4 linked regions of the Canis lupus familiaris genome follow. The protein of the gene in region 2 binds, or shares a complex with, the protein of the main gene of each other region. Links are inferred from orthologs where the notes say so. Each region holds a gene or a part of one and is shown on either strand. Other genes may lie near its edges.

Region 1 (4,010 bases), on a different chromosome or scaffold from region 2:
AGCCAGGGAGGGGGAGGCGGGTGCAGCGGGAGGGGTGCAGGGCTGGGGACCAGCAGGGCCCGAGGGGAACACGCTGGGGAACCCCCAGCTGGACCCAGTGGTGCCTCCCGAGCAGCCGGGGAGGGGGAGGCAGGTGCAGCGGGAGGGGTGCAGGGCTGGGGACCAGCAGGGATGGAGGAGAACACGCTGGGGAACCCCCAGCTGGGCCCAGTGGTGCCTCCTGAGCAGCCAGGGAGGGGGAGGCGGGTGCAGCGGGAGGGGTGCAGGGCCGGGGACCAGCAGGGCCCGAGGGGAACACGCTGGGGAACCCCCAGCTGGGCCCAGTGGTGCCTCCCGAGCAGCCAGGGAGGGGGAGGCGGGTGCAGCGGGAGGGGTGCAGGGCTGGGGACCAGCAGGGCCCGAGGGGAACACGCTGGGGAACCCCCAGCTGGACCCAGTGGTGCCTCCCGAGCAGCCGGGGAGGGGGAGGCAGGTGCAGCGGGAGGGGTGCAGGGCTGGGGACCAGCAGGGCCCGAGGGGAACACGCTGGGGAACCCCCAGCTGGACCCAGTGGTGCCTCCCGAGCAGCCGGGGAGGGGGAGGCAGGTGCAGCTGGAGGGGTGCAGGGCCGGGGACCAGCAGGGATGGAGGAGAACACGCTGGGGAACCCCCAGCTGGGCCCAGTGGTGCCTCCTGAGCAGCCCGGGAGGGGGAGGCAGGTGCAGCGGGAGGGGTGCAGGGCCGGGGACCAGCAGGGCCCGAGGGGAACACGCTGGGGAACCCCCAGCTGGGCCCAGTGGTGCCTCCCGAGCAGCCGGGGAGCGGGAGGCGCGGTGGGTGCAGCGGGAGGGCTGCAGGGCCGGGCGCGGCAGTGGGCGGCGCCCCGCCGCTGGAGGTCGCTCTGGGGGCGGAGGCGGCCGGGCTCCCAGGGCTCGGAGCCTGCGGGTCTCCGGGGGCGGGAAGCGGCGCGGGAGGGGCCGCTGCAGGTTCCCGACGCGGAGCTCCGGGGAGGAGCTGGGGAGGACTTGGGGGCCGGCGCGGGACTCGAACCCGGGGCCCCGGAGTCACGACCGGGAACCACGCAGGTGCCCCGGGCCAGGTCCTTAAGACCGCGTGTGTGCAATCGGCGCCGCGGAGCGGAGGGGACCCAGGGCGGCCCCCAGCGAGCCCCCCGCCCCCGCCGGAGCACCGCGCCGACTCTCGCGATGCGGCCAGGCCCCGCCCCCGGCGGCCGCTAAGCCCCGCCCCCGCCGCGCCCCGTGTCGTCATTTCCTGTGGGTCGCGGGCAAAGGGAGAAGATGGCGGCGCTGGGGGAGCCCGTGCGGCTGGAGCGGGGTGAGTGCGGCCGAGGCCCCGCGCCCCGGATCCCGGCTGCCCGTCGCCGAAGGTCGCCGCGCCCGGCCGCTGGGGGAGGGGGCGCCTGCGGTCCCCCGGGCGGGGCCCCGCGCGCTCCTCGGCGCCCGCCCCGCCGGCAGCGGCCGTGCCCGGGGCGCAGCCCACCCGCCCTCGCCGCCCTCGCCGCCCTCGCCGCCCTCGCCGCCCACGCGCTCCCACGCGCTCCCGGGGCGGCGTCCGGAGCCGGGTCCCCCCGAGGCGAGCGCCGCGCCGGCCCCGCGGGCGGTTACGTAACGCGGCGGACGCGGCAGGTGCGGTCGCGGCCTCGACTCGGGAGCCGGGCGCTGCTGCTCCGCGGTGCGCCTCGCCGCCGGCCTCGCTGCGGGGTGCAGGGGGCTCGGCGGTGGAGCATCTGCCCGCGGCCCAGGGCGTGACCCCGGGTCCCGGGTTCGAGTCCTGCGTGGGGCCTGCTGCTGCCTCTGCCTCCCTCTCTGTGTGTTCTCATGAGTAAATAAATAAAATCTTTAAAAAATACGTATCCATGAGAATACACAGAGAGGGAGGCAGAGACGCAGGCGGAGGGAGCAGCAGGCCTGACGCGGGACTCGACCCCTTGACCCGGGGTCACGCCCTGGGCCGCGGGCAGATGCTCCACCGCCCCCCCGCCCCGGGCGCCCGAGTCACAGCATCCTTTCTGACCCAGGAGGAAGGTCCTCTGGGGAGACTTTCTCGGTCAGCCCCGAGACCGTGACCACCTCCTCCTCCTCCTCCTCCTCCTCCTGAGCGCAGCGGCGCTGTGCTCTGCAGATGGGAGCAGGTGTGTTCTCCGTTAGCAGGAGTAGGTGTTCTCCTTTTTGAGAGCCGGTGGTGGTGGTGGGATTCCGACACGCCGGCTGGCGGTCTTTTGTATTTGCAAGCGCAGCACGGACTGTGAGACGGCACCTCTGGCACTTACCCTATAGGGGGGTGGTCGCGGCTTTGGTTTGTTTTGTTTTGTTTTGTTTTGCTTTTTTGTTTTTTTGCTTTTTTGCTTTTTCAGAGTCCTTGTCGGGTCTATGACAGAAGGCTCAGCAGCTTAGTAGGATGAATTCCTAGTGGCTGCCATGTAGCCGGACAAGAAAGAGGACACCCACTGTCGCTTCCCTAGAGTTCTGGTTAACAAACACTGCCAGCAGCGCTCAGTGTAAAATTAGTGCCTCACGATCAGGGTCCTGAGCGTCTTCTAAAATAGTCAAAACCTGATTCAGTTGGAGGACATGTGAACACGTAACGAGGTACACTTGAGGTTCAGCAAAGAGTTGTTTCGTCTCCATCTCTTGTTGATTGGAAATATTTATATAGCCTACATGTTGTGACTTTGTAGATTAAAGTAATCCATGAGCCAACAGTCGGGTTCACCAGTCATTTGAATTGTGGGAAATCAGAATGGGGAAAGTCTGATTCCGTTGCATGTGATCAACATCAGTTGAAGCTTTTATTAGCTGAAATCGGGAAAGCTACTGCTTGTTTCACTACATTTATTCCTACTTTTGCAGCTGCATACACAAAGAAGGCCGTATTAATTCTATGAAGAAAAAGTTCCAGGCTTGCGGTATTAGTATAAAGTTTAGAGCTTTTTCCTTTTAAAAGGAGGCAAAGGGGATCCCTGGGTGGTGCAGCGGTTTGGCGCCTGCCTTTGGCCCAGGGCACGATCCTGGAGACCCGGGATCGAATCCCACATCGGGCTCCCGGTGCATGGAGCCTGCTTCTCCCTCTGCCTGTGTCTCTGCTTCTCTCTCTCTCTGTGACTATCATAAATAAATAAAAATTAAAAAAAAATAAATTAAAAAAAATAAATAAAAGGAGGCAAAGAATAATAGGTACTCTAGCCTCCTGGGGTACAAAAACACAGTTTAAAAAAAAAATAGAGGCAGTTATAACAGTGTTTTAACATGACTGACTCTTTTTTTTTGTTGTTTTAATAAAAGATGTTATTTACGTACTTGAGAGAGGGGGATGGAGCCAGGAGGGGGGCAGAGAGAAAGGGAGCAGCAGACTTCCCAGTGCCCGAGGCTCGTCCCAGGACCCTGAGATCATGACCTGAGCCAAAGGCAGACGCTCAACCAACTGAGCCACCCAGGCGCCCCAACATGACTCTGAATCTTAAAAAATGTATTGATTTATAAAACACACTTCCCCTGGGAATTTCCGAACGTGTTTTACCATTGTTTTAACTGTGTTCCTGCCACTAACTGCATCTGTTGTTGAATGGTTCATATCCACACGTAAATTGTGGTTTTCTTTCAGAAATGAACAAGGATTTCCCTAGCACACAGTGTTTGTGCTACTCAGTGCTTTGATTACTGATAATGATAGATAAATTTTTAGTGACTAATGAGCTCCAGATAGAACCATCAGCATTTTGAAGCAATCCAATGTTCGTGTGTCTGTCACATTTGAACCCCTGTCCTTTTCTGTAACATTTAGTATTTTATATTCAGTTTTCCTTCATCTCAAAGATAATTTTTTCCAGATCTTATATGTATGCAACATAAGGCTCCTAATTACATAAAATTTAGCATTCTCAGATTTTGCACTCCCTCCCTCGTATGTGTATTCACATACCCCCTCAAACATGCAAGCTCATACTCTTAGGCTTTTTTTCCCTCTGTATTCTACATTTTCCTGGTTAATCCCTGAGTACTGAATCCTGTTAC
Region 2 (3,500 bases):
GTACTCTTGAAAAGTAAATGAAAATTTTTCTCCTGGGTTGGCTTTATTCTACAGGACTTGCCATCAACTACCCAACCAAAAGGACGACAGGTGAATAGATACCCTCTATAGAAACTTCTCTAAACTGAGCTGCTAATAGCCAATCCTTTATTAACCCTTTCCATCCCATAATGTCTGCATTTTGGACCATAACATTTAAGCATTGAGAGCTTGTACCATTTCATTTTAACACATTACACGTGACTAATTTTCTATAAGGATTTTTTTCTTTACATCTTTGTAGCTGTGATGGTTATTGTAATTTCAACCTGATAAACTTGTGTTGATGGTTAAGAATTCAGCCTTTAAGGGGGTCTTACAGGCCTGCCTCTGAAGTTGGGGAAAAAAATTGTTAAAGGTAACAAAATTCCTAGAATTCTAAGAATAACTAAAATCTACGTGCTGATGAACATGTTTAAGCAGTAATTTTCTAAAATCTCAAGGCTTTTTCCTAATTTGTTTTTGCATGTGTAAATCTAAAAGCCATTTACAATGAAAACTCGGAACATCCTGGCTTTCCATCCCAATATGCCTCTTTTGGGTCACATGGGGAAAGTGAAGTGCTGCCTGCCACAAGCAAGCAGCTTCCAGTTTGCCAGCACTTTAAGAGTATGGATTTCAGGTGCAAAGGCAGAGACATGTTAATTTTATAGGCTGGATTTCTGATAAGAAAACTTGAACAGAATAATCACACAATAGTTCCAAAGCCTTCAGGTTGGTTTTACAGTGACTGAAACATTAATATTCAAATATAATTTCAAGAGATAGAATTTTATGGGAATTTTCTTGGAATTTGGTGTCCAGAAATAATCCAATTTGGCCTTAAGGTGTGCACAAATTGGCATCTGAGAGAATTCACCCTGTAGTTTATTTTTAAGACCGCATAAGTGATGCAGCATTAGATATCTAGCATTTCTTAAAATGCTGCCATATGATAACCCCTTGTAGACTAATCTGTTTCCTTTTATAATATCTACTAATTACATTGACATATCCTGAAACTCAGAGCTTTGAATTCTGCATATCTTGAAGCTCTGTGCTGCTTTCAAGTGGCAAAGCTTGGATTCAATGTCCTTTTTCTTTAAGAAGAGTAAAATACAAATACAAAACCTAAATCCTTCTTACATACCTAATAACATGATTTTTTAAATGCTTTAAAAACTGTTTAAATTACATTTAAGTTTATCGACAGTGTGTAGACATGCTGCCAGTTGTCATGTAGGCATTTTAACTAAAGCAAGATGCCAACACAGAGTGCTTGCTACTTTTGTACCACATGCTGCTTCAGGGTTAAAACTTTCCCTGAATGTTTGTGTATATGGTGACAAAGCTGCCACATGATCATGACAACTTGCCCATAACATCAGCTAAATATATGCAGATTTAAAAATGGTAAGCGTGCGTCTCTATGATTAGAGACCTATTCTGTTACAGTAAAAGCAGAAGCTAAGTCTTGATCTTTATTAAACAAGAATTGTTAAGTGTTCCCTCCAAATAAAAACAGCAAAGGTATGAATCTATACACATCAAAGGTATCCCATCATTTCTAGTGGTAGCAATTCTGTGTCCTATCTCCATGCGTCATTTGGCTTCACCATCTAATGTCCTGTTTGTATTGTAAGTGTTGGTGTGTGGTTATTAGGTTAGAGCTGTTTGCTTTCACATCGCCGAGGCAGCCCTTCTTACAAACTCCTGTTTTATAGATCTATGTAAGAGCACAATTTGAATATGATCCGGCCAAGGATGACCTCATCCCCTGCAAAGAAGCTGGCATTCGATTCAGAGTTGGCGACATTATCCAGATTATTAGTAAGGATGATCACAACTGGTGGCAGGGTAAACTGGAAAACTCCAAAAATGGAACCGCAGGTCTCATTCCTTCTCCTGAGCTCCAGGAATGGTATGTTGTTATTCCTTCCATTTTGCTTGACAATAAAAACAAAGCCCTGACCATCCTTTTTGACAACCTTCTATTCTGTTGTGTAAAACCTATTTGCCTCCACTAGCTAAAGTTCAGATTAGTCATCCAAGAACTCTAAATCCTCAACATCTAGTAAATTCCTGCTTAGAGTCAAGTCTTGGTTTTACATAGAAGGGGAGAGGAAAGTCAAGAGAGAGAGAGGTTGAGCGGCTAGCCTCAAGTCATGGTCCCAGTCACCTCATGCTGCCTTAGAGCCCCCCACTCCCACATGCTGCTTCAATCCTTTTAGAACCATGTTTTGTTTTGTTTTGTTGTTTTGTTGTTTACAGATTTTATTTATTTATTTGAGATAAAGCAGTGGGAGTAGCAGAGGGAGAGGGAGAAGCAGACTCCCCACTGAGCAGGTGAGCAGGGAGCCCAATGCAGGGCTCAATCCCAGCATCCTGGGATCAGGACCTGAACTGAAGGCAGATGCTTAACTGACAGAGCCACCCAGATGCCCCTGTTTGGTTTGGTTTTAAAACAAACCCTCTCCTTACCCGTTAGCATGGTCTCCCCATTCTCATTCTACCCCCCACCCCCACCCCAGCAGGCAAAAGCTCAAAGGCCATGATTCAGGGTCACTCAGGATATTTGAAGGTAAAAATGGGTTTTGCCTTTGGGAAAAAAAAAAGAGCAGCCAGAAGCTTCATTCTTTACCTTGCCAAGCCTTTAAAAACACTTACTTTGTTGGAAAGTTTAAGCAGTGAAAACAGGTTAAAGTCAGATAGCTTTTCAACACCATTTTGAACTGTGAGAAAAGGAGTCCCAAATTACTATATATTACTATCTATTTTGGTGAAATCCAAATGCTGTTGTTACAATTCACTTACTTGAACTCTGTTTTGAAAGATGCTGGTGATTTTGCTGTGGCTGGTACTTTGGCAATGTGTGAGAGATCTAGCAAGGAGATGACTCTATCTGAGGTTGTTTCACACAACCCAAAACAGCAACCATTAGACATTGGGGCAGTCTATCCCCAAATACTGGAACCTAGCTAACAGACGCCAGAGGCTCCGAGTCCACCAATGTTGATAATGGTTGATAATGGTTTTTCTCACTAAAGGGATTTCTCAGTGAATTTCCTTTGCGTGATTGCCTCTGTTAGCTATCCTTTGTTTCCAAAAACGTTCTTACGTTTAGATTGTCAGAGCTGATAAGAACTTCAGATGCCATCATTTAATGCGGAGACTCATAGACCCGGATAGAGGAAGTGGCAGGCAGCCTTCCATCTGGCACTGCTTTGCAGTCCAAACTTTAAGAAAATTGTTTTTTTTTAAAAGAAAGAAAGAAAGAAAGAAAGAAAGAAAGAAAGAAAGAAAGAAAGAAAGAAAGAAAGAAAGAAAGAAGAAAGAAAGAAAGTTTTTCTTTTTCTTTTTTTTCTTTTTTATTTCTTCTTTTTTTTTTTTTGAAAGGAGAAATGTCTTTATTTTCCTGTGAGGGACTGTAGTTCTTGACGGACCAGGGGCCCCATAATCACAGCTGGCCCTGAGTCACAGAT
Region 3 (4,215 bases), on a different chromosome or scaffold from region 2:
TTTTTTTTTTTTTTTTTTTGGTAGGAACAGTTTTCAGAACCTTTTCTTTCACTGGTTTAAATGATGCCATCAACTCATTAATCACAGTTTAATAATGTAGAGGGGAAAAATATGTATATGCATTGACTTCATGTACAGCAATGATGCCAATAACTTCCTCATCCATCAATCACAGACCTTGCAGCTAGCTGCTGGTTCATTTATTCAGTTGCATCCAGTCTCATTCTGCCTCTTGAGCTACTTATTACGTGAACCCAATCACACTGGGAAAGGACAGGTACAGTCTGGCTGCAAACAAGAACAAAGTTTAAGGGCAGATCTAGGTCTGACTGTGCTTCCTCTGCACCACCCAGTCAGGAAATCTAAGGTCTGAGGCAGAAACCCAAAGAGCAAAACGTTTTTAGTAGTCCTGATACATCAGCTTGCTCAGGGAAGGCAATTTTCTTGGGAGTTTGTTTTTTTCTTTTTTTTTTTCTTTCTCCCAGTGTAGTCGTTTTACTGGGGATATATATGTACAAGCTGATTCAGTCAATGGGGCAATATAAGAGCTCGTTACGTTAAAACAGAAATTCGTAGGAAATCCATAATTCCTAATGGCTTGCCATCTGTTTGGGTCGTGGCGGCAATGGATTTACGCTGCTGTAGGGTCGGTGACGATCCCGGGCTGGAATCCTGGGTTGCACAGTGGGTTTGTGAGCTCTGTAACCACCGCTCTTAATTTGCAGGCTTGCACATCAGCATTCGGCAGCAGACAATCAACTATTACCTTTCTTTTTCTTTCTTTTCTTTGTTTCTTTTTTTTTTTTTTTTTTTTTTTTTTTAGATTCTGCACTCTCACCCCCCAAGGAAGGCGGCTGCGGGCTCCGTGCGGAACCTGCTCGGGCGCCTTGCAGTCCGGCGGCCCGGCCAGTGCGGGGCCCGCGGAGCGCGCCGGAGGCCGGGCTGCAGCTGCGGGATGCGCTCCCGCCCCGCGCCCCCCGCGCCCCCGGAGCCCTCGAGCGCTGCGCTCCCCGCGTCGGGCGGCGGCCTCGGGGGGGGGGGGGGACGCGGGCGGCGCAGCGCCGGGGGGCACCCGGGCCCCGGGGACCCCAGCCTCCGCCAAGAGTTGCGCCGCAAGCCCGCCTTCCGCGGCCCCGGGGCTGGGGGACGGCGAGGCCGGGGCGCAGGGCAGGGGGCTCCCGGGACAGCCGCTCCCCGCCGCCGCCGCCCGGACCCCGCGCGCGCACCCCCGCCCCGGCCCCGCCGCCCGGACAAACTTGCTCCCGCCGGCTCCCCCCGCAGCCGCGGTCTCCGCCCCCCCCCCGGAGCCTGCGCCGCCCGGACAAGCCGGCGCCCCGGGGTACGGGGGGCGCGGGGGGCACGGGGGTCACGGAGGGCACGGGGGGCGCGGGGGCGCGGGGGGCACGGGGGTCACGGAGGCGCGGGGGGCGCGGGGGCGCGGAAGGGGGCAAAGTGTCCCGCTCTGCGCGCCCGCCCCCGCCGCCCCTGCCGGAGCGCGCCCGGCCGCCGCGGGGTGCGGGGTGCGGGGCGCGGGGCGCGGGGCGCGGGGTGCGGGGCGCGGGGCGCGCCGCCGCCGCCTTACCTCTGTCCAGGGTGAGCGGCTGGACCACTGTCAGTGTCGCCATGTCTGCCGCGGGAGCCGAAGCGACGCTCCGCTTCAGCATCAGCCGCCGCTGCTAGTGAGAAAAAGAGGAGGAGACTGGGGCGGGGGCGGGGGCGCCGTGGGGGCGGGGGCGGGGGCGGGGCGGGGCGGCGCGGGGGGGCCGGCGGGGGGCCCGGCGGGGCGGCGGCGCAGGTAGCGGAGCGCGGAGGGCGGCTGGCCGGCAACTTGGCGCGGCCGCCGAGCGCGAACCGGGCAGCCCGCGGGCCGCCCCTGCAACTTCGCACGCAGATGAAATGGGCGGGGAGTGCGTGCGCCTCCCGGGAGGGGCGGGGGAGGGGGCGCGGGGGGGGGAGGGCGCGGGGGAGGCGGGGGGGCGGGGGGATGGGGAGGGGGCACGGAGGAGGGGGCGTGGGAGGGGGCGGGGCGATGGGGCGCGGGGGGGCACAGGAGGGGGCGGGGGATGGGAGCACGGGAGGGGGGCGCACGGGAGGGGGCGCACGGGAGGGGGCGTGAGGGGGACGGGGAATGGGGCACAGGAGGGGAGGCACGAGAGGAGGGCGGGGGATGGGGCGCGGGGGGGCACAGGAGGGGTTGCGGGGGGAGGGGCGGGGGGAGGCGTGGGGGGTGAGCGGAGGGACGGGGCACGGGGGAGGTGGGGGGGTGCAGGGGGGAGGCACGGGGTGGGGGGGAGGAGGAGGATGGATTTTTTTTTTTCCGGATTAAGAGCAATTGTCCAGCCAGGAGCCTACCCCTTAGAACATGCTTCTGGTCCAGAAATGCTGGGGTTCCGTGAGCAGCGGCAGCTACTTTGTGTTCGAGTTCCTTTGGAACGCCCGGCCCAACGGTGTGCCCGGTAACTGACTCAGGGCTCCATCACTCCAGGAGGGGGTGGCCGAGGACCTAACGGACCTTAAGCACAAACTTCTTAAAAATGGTTTTAAATTAAACCACAGAGAGAGAGAGAGAGAGAGAGAGAGAGACATTTGTGTCCCTCGGTGTGAAAAATACGGAGGCAGCCCTTTTTCGGGTTGATCCGCACCCAGGGTTACCAGAGTGGCCACTGATGATTGACTAACCTGCGTGGCAGGCGGGAAGCCAGGAGCGCTGCTTGCCTCCCTGGTCACAGGCCGCCTGGGAGCTGGGGACAGGCCCTGCCTTCATGCAGCCTGTGGTCGTGTGGGACAGGATGTCGTTAAAAGGGTCGTTTAAGAGTCGATTGGTCAGGCGTCAGTGACTAGAACCTTCAAATGCTGCCTGTGACCCCTTCACTCCATTCGATGGCTTTCACTCTGCTGCCACTATAGGGACTTTCATTCCCTGATCAAGAAAATAAGAAGCACATAGAAATCTTAGAGAAGCAGAATGGTGATGCCTGTGGGTTCAGGAGTGGAAGTGGCAGAGCTGCCTCCAGCCCCTTCCCCGTGACAAAGCAAAATGGTTTTGGCTAGCAATGCACCCTTGAAGGCAGACACGATTTTACAGCAAAATATTGGCATATCATCCATTTCATTGTCTTCCGGATACAATATGGGTGGTTTCTGGAGATCTTTTCCATCCCATGTTTTACATTTGGAAAAAAAAAAAAAAAAGATTTCCCCAGTGATTTGAGCAACTCAAAGATGACTGTCCATACACCACATTGATCCTAAAGACCTACTTAAAATAGTAGTTCAACATGCCTGTATTTCATTTGGTTTTTAAGAAAGAACTCTGATCTTGAAATTCAAGTCTTAGCTATGTGCTCTTCAGAAATCACAGGATCTCTCACCGATCCCCTTTACTCATCTGTCAAACAAAGGAATTAATAACCTTCAATTTCACTGAGATTCTGTAAAATGAAGAACTAATTCTACCCTACAATCTGAGTTTTGTGAGGGCCTGATGATATTGTGCATGTGAACTGCTTTGAAAACAGGAAAGTATGTACGCGCTTACTCACACCAGAAACCTACACCCCACCTGAACCAGGTGGCAAGCAGTGTGCTAGGTGCTTGGCCCACAAAGATTAGAGACGTGGCCCTTTCCCTGGACAATGGCCCAGTCCAGGTGGGGAGACACCTGGACAATGGCCCAGTCCAGGTCGGGAGACAAGAAATGAGCAAGCAAGCTGTGAGAATTCCATGCGGTAAGTGCTCTAAGCAGCATGGAAAGGACAGGAGGAAGCAAGCTTCTGGCTGATGATCATCATTCTCATCCCCTAAGCCAAACAACAGAAAAAAAGTTACACTGTGCGTAATAAACAGCAGAGTCTGTTCCCTGGATTTGCACGAAATATCAAACCTCATTCAATAATTGAGGATGAAAGGAACACACAAATCCGCTGGTCACTAATGTAGTTCTTTTAACAATCTACTTTATTATGAATATGTATTTGAGCGGCTTGATTCATGAGTCTAAAAGCCGTAAGTGTACCTATTTCAGCACAAATCTTAGGTTGTGAGGTCTAGGAAATTGGGCTTTTTGTCGTTTTGTTTTCTGATGTATCCCCAGTACCAAACATTTTATAGCCTGCTTCTAGACTTGTACTTTGAGCTCCCCAATTGAAAATTTGCTCTTTCATAATCTCTCCATGTTGACTCTGTAGAGTTTTGGTAAAGATTAAAAGAAAAAGT
Region 4 (4,285 bases), on a different chromosome or scaffold from region 2:
TTTGAAAAATTGATAATATCGTGAAAGAAAAGCAGATTGACATCACAGGAGAAAACAGAAGGTGCTCAGGAAAGGCAATGTAATCACAGAACACTGCTTGGGCTCTTTTAGTAAGCAGTAAGTACTTAGACTTAATGGGAGCACTTTATTGATTGCCCTAAAAACTGGTAGCATAAAACTACCATGGGAAGACAGTGGAAAGGTGGTAAGAGCAGAAAATCAATATGTAATGCATTACTAACATCTAAAATTGATAAATTGAGAAATAGGTTCCTTAGATACACAAACAACTAGCAGGACTAAACATCTGTAAGTTGTTGCCTCTTGCAGTGGGGAGAATTAGGACAGGGGCTGGTGCTTCTCAGTATTAGCCCTCTGTGTTACCTGATTTTTTCACTTTAAACTCATTTTTGTTGTTAAAATGAGAGAAAAAAATGCTATGAAGGAGAAGGATAGACAAACTGGCTCCAGTCCTCTCAGCAAAATTCCTTTTCAGAATTCCATATCCCCAGCCAGCTGATTGTGCAGATGGATGGGCAGCAGACTTCTCTATAGTTTTGTGTACATTTCCTGCATTTCTTTGGTATCTGATACCACTGGCTACTTTTTTTTTTTTTTTAACCGCACTCTCTTAACAGGTCTCCCAACCTGGCCATTCTTTGTCTTCTTCCCAACTTTGAAATGTGAGTTTTGGGGACCCAGTTCTGGGTCCTTTTGGTAGTAGGTTATCTTGCCTCCAACTAATGAACACGGCTACTCACCAAGCAGGTCCAGGTATTTCCAAATCTGTCCACCTATCCTCCTGACCGCCTATCCTGGCCCAAGCCATCGCAGGATTGCTGGGAGAGTCTCATGACTGGTCCCCATGCTTCCATTGTTGCTGCCCTCCAATCCAGTCCCCACACCGGGGTTACATGGATCTTAAAATACGTATTTGAGTATCACATTTTACTTTTAGGAGTTAACATGAAGGCCAAAATCATGTATATGCCAACATACAAGGCCGTGCATAAACTATCCTGCCTACCTTTTCACCATCATGAACTATTCTGGTTTTTACTCCGTGGGCTCTTTCTGCCTGGAATATGATCCACGCCCCACCTCCCGATAATCTTCCCTCCAAGGACTCTGTGCCAGCGTCCCTCCTAGAACACCACCTCCTCACTCCCAATATCTTAACCAGCAGTAGTTGGTTGTCTACTTCCCCTGCCCCAAAGACTTAAGTTCGCTGAAGGCAGTGGGCTTGTCTGCCCTGCTCACCATGGTGTCCAGATGTTTAACATGTTTGTCCAATGAACGTGGAAAAAAGGAAGAGACAGGTATGGCGTCAAGGCAGGCAAGCTGCAAGAGTCGGGGTAGGAAACCGGACAGCCCGTTGGCGGCTGTGCGCCGGGAAGCCAGACAGGCGTGGCAGCAGGTGGGGCGGCCGCGGCGCCGGGAGCGGAGCGCACGTCTGGTCGCGCCCTCGCAGGGGGCGCCCGCCGTCCGGGGCGTGGCCTCGCGCAGCCCCGCCCTCCTCGCGGAGACCCGGCAGGCGGGCGGCTAGCGGCGGCGGCGGCGCAGACATGGCTGCGCTGGTGGAGCCGCTGGGGCTGGAGCGGGGTAAGCGCGCCAGGGGGCCCTGCCCACCGGCCGTGGCCCGCGTCCGGGACCCCGGTCCCCGCCCCTCCCCGGCCAGGCCCCGGCGTGGGCGGGCAGATCGAGCGGGGGTGGGCGGGGCGGGGCGCCGCGGTTTGTGGGTGTGGGAGGGCCCGTGGGCTTAGCTGGCCCAGGAGGGGCGCCTACTGCACAGCCCTGCGTGTGTGCCTATGGGGATCTTGGGGCGCAGGGTGCGTGGCCGGCCGCAGGCCCCCCTGCTGCCGGCAACTCTGCGGGTGTCCGACTGGGATTCGGCTGCCTTTCCCGGGATCTGTCAGCGCTCGCCCTTACTCGGTTTCTGGCCGCATCTCTCCGTGCTTCTCCGCGTCTCTGACTCTGTGTCTGTGCGCCCCGCCCCCGCCCCGCAGACGTGTCCCGGGCGGTGGAGCTCCTCGAGCGGCTCCAGCGCAGCGGGGAGCTGCCCCCGCAGAAGCTGCAGGCCCTCCAGCGAGTCCTGCAGAGCCGCTTCTGCTCCGCCATCCGGGAGGTGAGAGCGGTGCGGCGCCAGGGCACAAGCGGGCGGCCGCCGTCCAGGTCGTCGCCCCGAGCCCAGGGACTACACCTCCCAGCAGCGCCGGGGGCGGCCCGCCTTGGGGGGCCCGCGCTTCAGCTCCGTGGTTCTCCGGGAGTTGTAGTTTCCTCCGGCTCCGGGGGGCGGGACCAGCCCTTGGATGGGAGGGTCTGTGGGCCTGGACTCTGGTGTGGAAGGGAGGAGGGGCTGGTGGTTCCCTGATGCTGCTGCGTCTTCACCAGGTGTATGAGCAGCTCTATGACACGCTGGACATCACGGGCAGTGCTGAGATCCGGGCCCACGCCACAGCCAAGGTAGGCGCCCCCCACCCCGTCACTCGTGGTATCCACTGAACTGCGTGGTCTTAACTTAGTAACTTCCTAAAGTCACTCATGCCTGTTTCTTCCTTCAGATTTTTGCCAAATCTGTGTACCACCGTTGCTCTTATTTACTGATATTTTAAATAATCTCATATGTTGTACTTAGATGTCATATAAAGGCATCTTTAGCAACTTCAAATGGAAACTAGTACCGAAGCCTGACAAGAAGATACCTTTTAATTATCACTTATACAATGAAATAGCATGAAACACCGAAATCTTATTAAACTATAAGTTGTATGCTGTTTCTTGCTGCTTCCTAGAGGCCCTTGGCTCTTTCCAGGCTTTGTTTTTCTCTACTAAACATCGAGATTGGCAAGTGTTGAATATTCAACACACTCACACCAAATGGAGACATTCTTTTTGACATGTCTGAAAGTTCCAAAGGGAATTCAGAGACTCGTTACAGTGTGAGCTTGCATTGAACTGTGGCAGGTGTCCCCTGCGTGGGGAAAGTAGTCCCCCAATCGCTGGCTTTCTCTGTCCCAGATCCTCCCCTCTTCCCCACCTGCCCACTATGGAGGGGCCCTCACCTCTCAGTGCCTTCTCTCTTGCAGGCCACAGTGGCAGCCTTCACAGCCAGTGAGGGCCATGCACATCCCAGGGTAGTGGAGCTGCCCAAGACTGATGAGGGCCTGGGCTTTAACATCATGGGGGGCAAGGAGCAGAACTCCCCCATCTACATCTCCCGCGTCATCCCTGGAGGCGTGGCTGACCGCCATGGAGGCCTGAAACGTGGGGACCAGCTGCTGTCAGTGAATGGTGTGGTGAGTGGGGCCTGAGGCTGGGCTCACAGTGTATTCAAGGTAGCACAGTTCCTGCTTTTGACATTCATTCAACATGCAACCATTGAGTACTGCCTCTTTGTCTGGCCTTGTGCTGGGCACTGCTACAGACCTGGAGAGAAGTTGGCCTCAGCTGCTGTATTCAAGGACTCCCTTTTTGGTGAAGGAGATTGACTGGAATAGTCCTAATCTGGGGAGATAATAATGAGGCACAAAGCACTGTGGGAGCCACATTTGGGCCCAGACCAGTATAGATCAGGGGAGTTTTTGCAGAGAAAGGAACATTTGAGTTGGGTTTTGAAGGATGAAGAGGAGTTCTCCAGGCAAATAAGATAGAGTATTACCAGCTAAGGATGTTGCAGGTAGGGACTGTGACTCTATATTCCTTCCAGCTGAACAGAAAGGGCTTAGTCTGGGGGAAGGACTGGAGCACATAGTTAATTAAAATCACTGTAGTTAGAAATAGATGGAAGCACAACTGGATCAGTAGTTGGGGCCTCAGTCACAGCCTGAGAAGCTGGGACTTTGTCTCAAGGGTTGGGGATTGGGGAGTGATGTGGAGGCCATGAATAGGAGAAGGATAGGCTCCGCTTGGAAGTATAGAAGGATTGCTTTGGGACTCTCTAGGGGATGGACTGAAGGCAGAGACTGGAAGCCAGAAGTTCTAGGGTGGAGGTGAAGTGAAAGTCCACCGGAGAAAGGATGAGGTCTAAGCTGGGATCAGGATGGTGAGGACAGGGTAGGGAGTCAGTAAGAGGAAAGGGGCTGAGGATTAGCAGGCTTTGGGGACAGAGTGGGTAAACATGGACCTGGAGGTCTGTCTTAGAGAGGGCAGTTAGGGCTTGTCCCTACCATGAAGAATGTGGAAGGTTTTGAGGGAGGACACTGAGCCAAGAATTAAGGACTCTCCCATGAGGACACGAGGCCTTGACAACTCAGGCTGGTACCAGGCTCACCAACAGTAGGTCCCA

The links.
Region 1: CASK (region 2) and LIN7C share a complex: the UniProt entries of both Homo sapiens proteins name them as parts of the brain-specific heterotrimeric complex. The link is inferred for Canis lupus familiaris from reciprocal best matches to the Homo sapiens genes CASK and LIN7C.
Region 3: CASK (region 2) and LIN7A share a complex: the UniProt entries of both Homo sapiens proteins name them as parts of the brain-specific heterotrimeric complex. The link is inferred for Canis lupus familiaris from reciprocal best matches to the Homo sapiens genes CASK and LIN7A.
Region 4: the proteins of CASK (region 2) and LIN7B are in contact, whole or in part, in an NMR structure (PDB 1Y74), measured with the Mus musculus proteins. The link is inferred for Canis lupus familiaris from reciprocal best matches to the Homo sapiens genes CASK and LIN7B. Residues at the interface, in NP_001271432.1 of Mus musculus: Ala405, Arg408, Ala409, Glu411, Val412, Glu415, Ile416, Tyr419, Glu421, Asn422, Asp424, Ala425, Glu427, Leu428, Ile431, Leu432, Gln434, Phe437, Ala439, Leu440, Leu441, Thr443, His444, Val447, Ala448; in NP_035828.1 of Mus musculus: Leu10, Asp13, Val14, Arg16, Ala17, Leu20, Leu21, Arg23, Leu24, Ser27, Glu29, Leu30, Pro31, Pro32, Lys34, Leu35, Ala37, Leu38, Val41, Leu42, Ser44, Phe46, Cys47, Ile50, Arg51, Tyr54.

What each region holds. Positions count from the first base shown.
Region 1 is NC_049242.1:48,957,366-48,961,375, reverse strand, and holds the start of LIN7C (protein lin-7 homolog C), read left to right. Parts: upstream 1-1,210; 5' UTR 1,211-1,277; coding exon 1,278-1,314; intron 1,315-4,010. UniProt on the Homo sapiens protein: Plays a role in establishing and maintaining the asymmetric distribution of channels and receptors at the plasma membrane of polarized cells.
Region 2 is NC_049260.1:36,111,905-36,115,404, reverse strand, and holds part of CASK (peripheral plasma membrane protein CASK), read left to right. Parts: intron 1-54; coding exon 55-90; intron 91-1,742; coding exon 1,743-1,939; intron 1,940-3,500. UniProt on the Homo sapiens protein: Multidomain scaffolding Mg(2+)-independent protein kinase that catalyzes the phosphotransfer from ATP to proteins such as NRXN1, and plays a role in synaptic transmembrane protein anchoring and ion channel trafficking.
Region 3 is NC_049236.1:23,464,641-23,468,855, forward strand, and holds the start of LIN7A (protein lin-7 homolog A), read right to left. Parts: upstream 2,801-4,215; 5' UTR 2,680-2,800; intron 2,513-2,679; 5' UTR 2,353-2,512; intron 1,677-2,352; 5' UTR 1,665-1,676; coding exon 1,583-1,664; intron 1-1,582. UniProt on the Homo sapiens protein: Plays a role in establishing and maintaining the asymmetric distribution of channels and receptors at the plasma membrane of polarized cells.
Region 4 is NC_049222.1:108,007,907-108,012,191, reverse strand, and holds the start of LIN7B (protein lin-7 homolog B), read left to right. Parts: upstream 1-1,485; 5' UTR 1,486-1,565; coding exon 1,566-1,602; intron 1,603-2,006; coding exon 2,007-2,125; intron 2,126-2,391; coding exon 2,392-2,463; intron 2,464-3,086; coding exon 3,087-3,296; intron 3,297-4,285. UniProt on the Homo sapiens protein: Plays a role in establishing and maintaining the asymmetric distribution of channels and receptors at the plasma membrane of polarized cells.